Linked DNA regions of Caenorhabditis elegans. The protein of the gene in region 2 purifies or fractionates together with the protein of the main gene of each other region. This does not show direct contact. Each region holds a gene or a part of one and is shown on either strand. Other genes may lie near its edges.

Region 1 (3,905 bases), on a different chromosome or scaffold from region 2:
CTGTTGACGTCTATTGAAAACTAAATAGAATCTCCTTGTAACAAAACGGGAGCTCTTTTTACATTTCTTACAATTAGGTCCTATCGAAAATATTAAGCTAAATATATGTAGAACTACGGGTTTCAATTATTAAAATTTTCATGTTGATTGAATACTATAAAACGTCATTCTCGTGATTCACACTTTCCGAAAACACTTCGAGATAAACGTTGTGCCATAACCCGATAGACATCAAAATATCTAACCGTTTTCCCTGTTTTCGAACTATTCCCCTCTAGATAATTGCCGTAGAGAACCACAGGCACGGATATTTTTTCAATTCGAAAGCGTAACAAATTACAAACCAGTTATGTGTCTCCGCCTAGAACCGATCTCAATTTGGATGTATAAAAACCGTGCTGATAGCTCTGAAAATAACATCATCATTTTTTAAGTTTGGTTTCATATGTTCTTTTCGCAAGCATCTTCTTTCTGTATCTCATCAAAATAAAAAATTAATATTTGTTCAGAAAATGTGCAAACTCTTCGTCGCCGTTGCACTTCTCGCTGTTGCCATCTATGCTGCTCCACCAGTACCACCAAGTGGTAGGAAATTTTTATATTTTGAACTTTGAAAAACTCTGAATCTGATTTTCAGCCGAGGAGGTGAAAGCTCAACTTGTCGCCGCTGGGCTCTCGGAGACTTCTGCCGCAGGAATCGTCGAGGTTGCCGAGAAGTACAAGACTCAACTCGAAGCTCTCAAGGATAACAAGGACGATAAGGAAGCAATAAAGAAGGTTTTCGAGGAGATCAAGACTGACACGGATGCCTACATCAAGACTCAACCAGAAGCTGATCAGAAAGCTTATGCCACCTATATCGAGTCTAAGAAGAAGGAATTCGAGGGACACCACTCTACTCCAGCTCACTAAATATTTTCTGATGTTGTTGCTCGAAATGCACATATATACATTTTCCCTTGACTTTTTGTATTGAATGAATCGAATTTTCTGTTTGAAATGTTGACAAGTCTCTTGTAAAAATTAGAACCTGCCATAAGAAAAGCATGCCTACCTACATGCCTAAAAGACAAACCCTGATCGCCGCGAAGGAGAAGTACATTTTGACAAACCGTGAAAAAACGTTTATTCGGGCCGGAGCATAACACGGTAATGATACATCTATTTCAAGTCCAGTTATTATTGACCTGAAGGTAACTTGTAGACCTGTTGGTGCCTGCAATGACGCCCACCCTGTGTTAATAAATACCAGGTTGAAACTTGATATTATTTTCGCTTCTGTAACTATTATTCCAGCTATTTATCGTTTTAAGTCTGAGCTATTAGCAAAATTAGGAACATGGAATAGCTTAGTATCATTATTATTACTATTATTATTATTTAATACGTTTACATAGATAGATAGAGTAAGTAGGTAGGTAGATAGGTAGGTAGGTAGGTTTTTAAAACAAGGGAAAAAGATTGGGTTGTTCTCGATATTTCACCCGTTACTGTAGTCTTATGTCTGGATGAAGCACATATGGAATGATTCGCGAAATTAAAGTTTTATTTTCAAATAAAAAATGGTTCCATATTCAAAAAAATTGATATTTAAGCACTTTCGGCAGCAGCAGCTTCCTTGTGAGCTTGGAAGTGCTCCTTGGCCTTCTCAACGAATGCTTTGTAAGCGGTCTGATCAGCTTCAGATTGGGTGGCGATGTAGGCATCAGACTCGGACTTCATGCTATCGAAAACTTTCTTTCCAGCTTCATGATCTCCCTTGGTGAGAGCCTGGAATTGGCTCTTGTACTTATCTCCGATTTCAACGAGTCCAGCGGCAGCAGCCTCGGAGACTCCACCCTCAACGAGCTTGGCCTTCATCTCATCAGCTTAAAATTATAAGGGTTTTAAGAAGAACGTTGAAATGAAAAACTTCTACCTGATGGCATTTGATGAGCATAAACGACAGCGAGAAGGGCAACGGCGACGAAAAGTTTGCACATTTTGAAAGTTGGAAGTGAATTGAATTGAAATTACTACAACCTGTCGACTATTTATACGAATCGAATTGTGACGACACGTAGTGGTGATTAGTGGCAAGGCACATTTGACACAAAAACGATTGGTTCTAAAATCCGGTTTGAATATTGAATTGGACTACACACACTCTCACTACAACATGGTTTTTTCAGTTTATGATTTGTTGCCCAACAGTTCAATTCATAGACATTCGCATCAATTGCGGAGGATCAAACGATTTCAGTTTCGAACTTTTCAAAAAATGTGTAACTGAACTTTCTGTTAAATCTGATGTTTTAATATTTTTTGTGGTATGAAAATAATTTTTTCATCAAAAAATTTATTTGAAATTCCCTCCATTTTCTATCGGCTAAACAACACGCGCCGCGTAACGATGGAGCATCGTTGTGCATTTTTCGCGAGATAATTTTTTTTTAATTTTCGTAATTAAAATTTCAACTCTTCCGTGCCTGGTCATTGAAAAATGGTAAGTTTTAAATATTTTTAGAATCAGAAAATAAATTTATAGTTTTTTAAAAGTTTCTCTTCTAATATTCCGCTAATTTTAGCATTTTTAAATCTCACTATTAGTTAAAATAAATATATTCAACAAAAAATTCCGGTGTGCTGTTTAATGCTACATATTATTTTTCAGGCCGACACAAGTCCACGTGAATCCAAACTGAACAAGCAGGATCAAGATCTTCATCTCGAAATTGATGAAACTGGATTAGCCTGCAAAAGTGAAGTGAAGAAAAGATGGCTCGGAGCACGTGGAACAGCCGGATTATATGGAAATGGAAAGTATTACTATGAAGTTACAATTACAAGTAAAGGACTGTGCAGAGTTGGCTGGGCTACTCTCGGTGGAAGTTTGAATATTGGTAATACTTTTTTGCATTGTGCAAAATTATTCTTTATTCCAATTAAAATGTTCCAGGTAAAGGACTGGATAGTTTCGGTTATGGTGGGACTGGAATGAAGTCAACCCACAAAAAGTTCGATGATTATGGTCTCCCATTCACTCTGAACGATGTGATCGGTTGCTATCTTGACCTGGATTCCCGTACCATCTGGTGGTCAAAAAATGGAGAACAATTTCCCGCCGCTTTTTCCATCGATGTGAAATACAAAAACTCGAACACGTGTCTCTTCCCGGCGGTCTTATGTCAAAACTCAAGCCTCTCAGTCAACTTTGGATCTCAACCGTTCAAATTTCCCCCGGGAAATCAGTTTACTGCGGTTTCCGATGCTCCAAATGAAAATGTGAATTGGTGGAGCTATGAGGAGCAAAACTCATTCGAACATGTAGTGGTGAAACTACCGTTTGCAGTAGAAGAAGATGTTCATAATGAGTTCAGAATGCATACCAAACTGATGCTCACTGAAGTAATTTAAAGTGGAAAATAAAGGTTTTTGAATTTTCAATTTACAGCTAAAGAGGACTCAATGCAAGCAGGACAAGGATGGATCTATTCGAAGAACTCTTCAGCCGATCAGCAAGTATGGGTGTTTCTGGAGCCAAAAAATAAATATAGATTTCAGAACAATTTGCGCATTTCTGAACACTGACGGTGGACGGCTTTTTCTGGGTGTCAACGATGATAAAGTTATTAAAGGAATTTCGATGAGCAAGAACATGGCTAGTTTTTAATAATAAAAACGCACAATTAGCTAGTTGGATTTTCAGATATACCATTTCTTCGGTTCTCTGCGACACATGTGTGAAAATTTTAAACCATGCAGTCCGCTATGTCGTATCAAAGTCTCCATTCTCGAAGTTATCCCGGTGGGAGTGATAAAAGTTAAGCTGAGAAAAGCGGATTTGCTCAAAGAAGAAGCTCATGATTTCCCGAAGCTCGCCTGCCACAGTGTTGGCGGATCATTCGTACGTGTTTTACGATTAA
Region 2 (6,695 bases):
TCTGAAAATAAACTATATTTTCTGTCTGTTACATGAGTAAATTACATTACCTTCTGGCAAAGACCTCCTTTTCAGAAGGCCATTCGCAGTCTGGTCCTTGGTAAATTGGCTTTGGGCTGTTCCAGAAGACATTTCCTCCAAATCCGTGTCCATTCATGAACTCAACAACCTCCTTGTTGTACTTCTGTAAATGATGTTATGTTTGCAAATATGTCAGACAATTGTCACTTTCGCTTTTTTTCTTTCCCGATTTCTGAATCCCAAATTCCATAATCCAATAGACACGGATTGTAATCGGAGAAATAATTCAAAATAAGGTCAACCGATGTTGATAAGCTAACCCAATTCTCGCCTCCTGTCAATCACTGTGTTCATCAATCTCACTAGTGCGCCCTACAGGAGAGTAAAAACAAAAAACACGCGCCGCAACGCTTGATGTTTCGCAACTGACCTGGAAAAATACAAGAGGATCTCTAGCATAAACCATGAGGGAAAGTCGGTTAGCATCAGAAGCAATCAAGTATTGGAGTGGCTCGGTAGAATTTCTGGTGCCATTATTGAAAGATGGTCCAGCTCCGATAATGTAAACTGAAAAGCAAGTTTAGTCAAAATTAAATGTTTTTCGCTCACATTGTCTTGGGTAGAAGTACTCTTCAGTGTACATCCAGTATTGTCCTGGTCCAACTTTGTTCATGTCTCTTTTGTAAGTCTCAATTGGTCCAGTTTTTGAAACCACTCTGTAAGCTTCTTGCATCGAGAATCCTTCTTCACCCATTATCGGATTAGGAGAGACTGCAAGTTACTTGTTATTTGAGCTTAGTTTATGATTCGAACAGGTTCAAAAACATGTTTTTGAGACTTTAGAAAGATAAACTTACAATAAGCAACTGGGCAGAACATTGTGGTGCGGACAACATCAAAGTTCATAGCAGCCTTGTACATCTGGAACCATTTTCCCATAACCATCTCCGCAGGGACATTGATGGTGTCAATTTTGCTTTCGAGCATTTTTCCAATTCCTCCAAGAATACCAGTAATGGCTTGGAAATCCATCTGAATTACAATTTTTAATATTATGCTGACACATATTCAAAACTTGACGTAAGTTACTAAATATCATAAATTACAAATGTCATTTAACAAAAGAAAGATAATTTCCAATGTTCTGTATCTTATTTAATTAAATTGAATTTGAATCCGAAAAATTCGACTAGTTTGTTGTTTTAAGGGATACTTACCGCATTTTCTCCAATAGCGGTAACTCCACCAAGGAGACAGAAGACCAGTGCAACATTTCGAGACCACATTATTTTTAGAAAGACACCGGTCACTACTAGAATATTGACCGTATATGTAGTGAACAGAAGTGACTGCTGCAGTTGCTGGCTGTTGCGATGGACGCCTTCTCCTTTCTCTTCCTCGACCTTCATAACCTGAACCCCGCCCATTAATCTTCAAGCTCCCCCTCTTCTCTTCATTTTCGGTGCCTGTGTGTTCCATGTTTCATGTGAAACTGTCTCATCAAGCAGTAAACCACAATTTACCTACATTACGTGAGTAATTAGGGCACGGTGTACTTGTAACCTTCACCCTTTTTAAGTGGGGTTCAATGCGTTGTAAATGGATTTGTGAATTGCAGTATAATATATGGAAAGAAATGTTTATTACGAATTTTTATTATGCGGGTTCTTATATTATTAAAGAGTTATTAAATTTATAATGCAATTATTAAGAACTGTACAACAACAAGTAATTGCAAACTGATGCGGGAATGTTTGGCGAAAAAATAGGCAATAAAAGTGAGAAGGAGAAAGAGGTCATTTAAGAGATTTTTCAGTAAAAATTAATTTGGTGGGTGCGACTGAGGGCCCAATGTACTCGTTGACTGTGGTTGGATTTACTTTCCGAAAACTTCAAAAGTCGAGTCTGCGTATTGACAGGTTGAGTATCCAGCTGGTTGGAGAAGGTTGAATGCTCTGATAAATCCGTTGATGAATCCTTGGTCTTCAAGCCAACGGAGAACCTGAAAGTTATATTTATCATTTATAAGTGTCATGTATTTTCTGACTTGCCTCTTTCTGGTATTTGGTCTTGAAAGTATCAGGGTCGCGAACCAAAACAGTAACTGGATATTTGACCCAATTGGAGATGATAGCGTACTCGTATTGGGAGTCTCCGAATGAGTTCTTTCCCTCTGGTCCAAGTTTGTAAATCCAGACTAAAAATGATGGATTAGGTGCCTATTGAAAATGAGGAAGAAATAAACATACATGGTTGAGCGTCACTTGTTTCAGAAGAGTGAAGTTGGAGCATGGCATCTTTGTTTCCTCCACGGAAAGCATACCCAAGAGAATACTTGACTGGTCCAAACTCAGATCCTTCTCTGTAAACCTTGAGAGCGGTGAAAGTGGCGGTTTTGTCATTGCGGGTAAGTCCTCCGTCTGAAATTTTTGATTTAAACAAATATTCCTTTTTTACAAACAACTGTACTCACAATGATGAACAACGCATCTTTGTTCGGTGGCTCTTGGAGAGTTAATTCCCTCAAACCATCTTCCCATGAATTTGGAAAGATCGACAGTTGGTGTTTCTGGGAGAAGAGCATCAGTGACATTGTCAGCGAGAGTTTGGAGTCTCTCTGGTGGGAGAAGCTCAGAAAGGGTGGTTCCGTTAGATACACGCTTGGTAACTGATCCGATCAGACTAACGATGTCAATTTGTCCTTGAGAGTTTCTTGGGATACCTCCTGGAAGAAGTGGGATTCCTGGAATTCTTGGGAGTCCTGCATGAGTTGGAGAGTTGTTGCCTCCTCCTCCGAGAGCGGCCGCAAAACCAGAAAGGGCTCTTTGAGCAGCAGATGGTTGTCTGCGAATGTTAGAAGATGATGCAGCAGATGCAGAAACAGTAGCAACAGCGTCATCGAATGAAGCTGCGGCTTGTGGGGCACGACGAATGTTGGATGATGCAGCTGGGGCAGATGATGAATCAGCTCCTGATCCAGATCCAAGAAGGTTTGGAAGAGAGTTGGAGAGGGCATCGCTCACTCCGGCTGAAACAAAACGTATGACGTGTCGATAGAATACCTATAAATTTCCACTCACTCTCCTTGATGACCTTTCTGATAGAGTTAGATAGAAGTCCGATAAGACCATTCTCTCCTGGTTGCTCAGCTGGAAGTGGAACATTTGCTCCTCCCTTGTATGGTCCTGGATTGTTTACAGCGTTTTGAATTTGGGAAAGTTGGTCTTGGAAATTTGGATTGGCTTGTGCAAGAACATCTGAAAAAAAATTAGAATTTTAGAATTGTTTTTGTTAAATTTAACATTTTAGAACATAAAAACTAACCATCGGTAACGGTCTTGACTCCGGCAGCTTCTGGGTTAACCTGTTCGGCTGGAATTCCTGGAACTGGAATTCCGGCAGCTCTCATCTCTTGTACGGCTCCAGCGAATCCTTCTGGATGGTTGCCAGTAAGTCCTGGAATTCCAAACGAGTCAAGTCCAAAGAATTTGATAAGCTGGTTTTGAACATCAGTTGGAATATTGACTGGTGGAGGTGGTGGAATGGCGGCTCCAACTCTTGGAGCAAATGATTGATCTCCATTGGTCACTGGCAACACTGGTTGTTGCGCTGCTGGTGGTGCTGGTGGGAGGGCAATTGGTTGTTGTGGTTGTGGAACGGCGATAGCCTTTTCTTGGGCAATAGTTGGGGCTGGGGCGCGTGGGGCCGCATTAACAGCACGTGGTGGGACAACCTAAACGATATTTAATTGACAAATGGGCTAAAAAAATATGAAAAAAAAAGTTACCTGTCCTAAAAATCTTGGACGGTGGTGTTGTGCTGGGAGATGAATTACTACAGGTACGTCTGCTTCGCTAATAGCGCCTAGTGCCACAGCTAACGTCGTAGCCAAAATCCAAATAAGCGAACGCATCACTGGTGTGCAGAAGCCAATGAGTGTGGATGGATGCAAATCGACTAACGACAATGTGGGAGGGTTCCCGATATACACCTCTCTCCGACCTAGTTGAATCAAGACAAGAAGTACCCCCTCCGATATTGTCCTTTCACTACTCTCAATTTCTCTGCGCTCTCTCTTCCCACCTTTCCCGTCGATTGCTATTCGCCTTCATCCCGGTTGTCCAATCGAAATTGGGCCAGGTCAACGCGTCGTCCAGAAGGTTTTGCGTTTACGCGATGCTGATAAGAAGCTATTGTGCGTCCATGACGATGACACAGCGCGCGGAATTGATCCGCTCGTCACACGGTTGTGGCTAGAGAATGAGAAATTCCGTGCCAGTTGGAACACGATCAGATAACAGAAAAACTAGCGTTTTCTATAGGGCCATCATGATTGACGTGACACATTTAAACAATTACCTACCACAAGAGTACAATGATGTTATATACTATTATTTTTAATTCAAACTGGAGTTCTAATTATTTTGAATGCTATAACAGATACAGACAAAATGCTTTATTATATGAAAATGAAATTGGAAATGCATGAGAGAATTCATAATTTGATGTAAAAATTGACTAGTGTAACTAAAACCCGCTACTTTATGGTACACAATAAAATTCTTGAGAAATCGGAAATACAAATTCGCATTGATTCATAAATTTTGTTGATTGCATCAATTCACACTTCCATTCGGTCAGGTTGTTTGCTGGGTACTGGCGCAACGAGATTGTCTTTCTTCGAAGCATTATGCGAACAGACAGATTTACCGCGAACCGTAACCTTCAAAACGAATGATAATTATGTAAACTACTGAATAGGAACGGAAGTACTTACCTCTAGAAATGCGACTAATTCGACACAACAGTACATAATCAGGGTGGGCCAGGTCATCAGCCAGTGGAAAATGTTGCGGATGATTCCCGTTTTGTCCTTAGTTTGTCTGGGGAACACCTAAACAAAGTAATTATTTTTGAGAGAGGTCATTATGAAGTATGAGGATATTACCGGTTGGCAAAGGTAGTTAACCAGGAAAACCGTAAAGAACCAGATGTACTGGAGACCCAGGAAGCCGAACATGATGATCATGAAACATTTGTTGTTTGGAATGACAAGCCCGTTAACGCCATGGTCGACTGCATTTAGCATAGCAGGGGTCTGAATTTTATATCTTCCATTAAGATATGTTGGAAAATAAGATGATGTCTTACCACAATAGGCGCGATTAAAGTGTAAATTGAAGCAATACAAAGAAGAAACCCATAGTAAAACACAAATTTTGCGGCGAATGAAATAGAAACTGTAACCGGAAGACGGAAAAATTTGATGGCAAAATAATGGAAGACTTCAGCAGCTCCAATGGTCCAGCGTCTGATCTGTCGTGCCCACTCGTACCATTCGTCGATATAGTTCTTTCCTAAAAAAAAAGGATATAAATTTAAAATTAAAATTTGGGAAGCAAACTAAATATATAAATACAAATCATATTTTTTCCAGAATACTCACCGCTGGTGGGTCCAGACAAGGTGGCAACAGGGATCGCTCTGATCACACATTTTCTTCTCACAGCCAATGACCATCTAATGAGAGCAATGATATCGTCCATTTGATATCCTGGGTGAGTGTATTCTCCCTCCTCGAAAAGCTTCAATGTGAGTGAGAAAATGCTCATGGTGTTGATATTCCATGGAATAAGGTATCCCATCATGAAAAATGCTCGCAGAAGACCAGTTATTCTGACGAAAAATGGCGATTGGTCTAAGTTGATGCAATAAAACAATGGAGATTGCCAGACAGTATAGGATCTTTGCTTTGCAGAAATTTTCCAATAGTCTTCTTCTAAAGCATCAAAGTATCTATCTCCGAAAACACTGTCACAGTCTCCAGTGGTAACAATCAGTTCGACATTGTTATCATACTCTTCTAATGGATAGTTTTTGTCGGCTCTCAACATTTTGACCGCTGTCCTAGCCGCGTAGTTGAAATTCGAACATTTGCCTGGAAAATCAAACAAACGTTGGCATTTTTCTCTGATTCGGTTTTATTTACCTGGAATGTCTCCCGGCAGTCCACGTGGGTGGAATGTGACAATGAACCGCTCGAACTTTGGCCCATATTTGTTGTCCAGAATGCGCTTTTTCTAAATAAAAGAGCACCGTTTGAAAAGTGATTCATTGGAAAAAACACCCACCTCTTCTTTGTCCGGAGTTCCTCCTTCCATTCCAACAAGACAAGTGATCTTTTCCTTCGCATTTGGTTGAGAAGCTATACTCTCGATTGTATCCATAAGCAAATCTAATGGTTCTTTATAGACACAAAGCCCAACTAAATGCTTCATTTTTAGACCTGCTTCATTCTTGACCTAAAATGTATTCAATGGAATTCAAATTGCCTATCCAGATTGGCTCACCAGGTCGAGTCTAATTTCATGAGATGCAAATCTTCTCAATCGCCATGTGTACCTTAGTGCATTGATAATTGCAATAATCCAAAGGCAGTGGAGAATTATTGAGATGATCGTCACAATTTCAAGGGCAAAATCCTAAACATTGAACGGTTTAAACACGACTAGAAAATCAAAACTTCCAATTGAGACACATGAGATTTGAAAGCATATGTTGGACTAGGCCACCATAACAATTTTTGAGTTGAAACTAAATTTAAAACTCTTGAAATCGTGGTCTAGAACGATATCAATACATTTATTACCACATTGATTCAAAATTAATAATGT

The links. Proteins that work in one complex are often made in the same cells at the same time.
Region 1: the proteins of lpr-3 (region 2) and spig-1 fractionate together in Caenorhabditis elegans (co-fractionation; one large-scale study listed by BioGRID). This does not show direct contact.

Annotation. Positions count from the first base shown.
Region 1 is NC_003283.11:7,049,805-7,053,709, reverse strand, and holds spig-1 (DUF4473 domain-containing protein), read right to left. Parts: upstream 1,996-3,905; 5' UTR 1,983-1,995; coding exon 1,919-1,982; intron 1,869-1,918; coding exon 1,591-1,868; 3' UTR 1,531-1,590; downstream 1-1,530. Other genes in the region: txt-17 (transcellular chaperone signaling (x)cross tissue), read left to right, coding at 513-585, 638-912; tofu-2 (Schlafen-like protein 2), read left to right, coding at 2,483-2,485, 2,654-2,882, 2,939-3,387, 3,434-3,501, 3,544-3,640, 3,689-3,886.
Region 2 is NC_003284.9:11,054,747-11,061,441, reverse strand, and holds lpr-3 (Lipocalin domain-containing protein), read right to left. Parts: upstream 4,042-6,695; 5' UTR 3,935-4,041; coding exon 3,809-3,934; intron 3,755-3,808; coding exon 3,346-3,754; intron 3,279-3,345; coding exon 3,102-3,278; intron 3,050-3,101; coding exon 2,495-3,049; intron 2,442-2,494; coding exon 2,271-2,441; intron 2,219-2,270; coding exon 2,073-2,218; intron 2,024-2,072; coding exon 1,898-2,023; 3' UTR 1,649-1,897; downstream 1-1,648. Other genes in the region: lpr-6 (LiPocalin-Related protein), read right to left, coding at 1-1, 51-184, 452-588, 631-792, 879-1,053, 1,239-1,448; C09F12.2 (Glycosyltransferase 2-like domain-containing protein), read right to left, coding at 4,643-4,744, 4,799-4,915, 4,970-5,119, 5,173-5,378, 5,468-5,959, 6,011-6,101, 6,153-6,323, 6,372-6,503.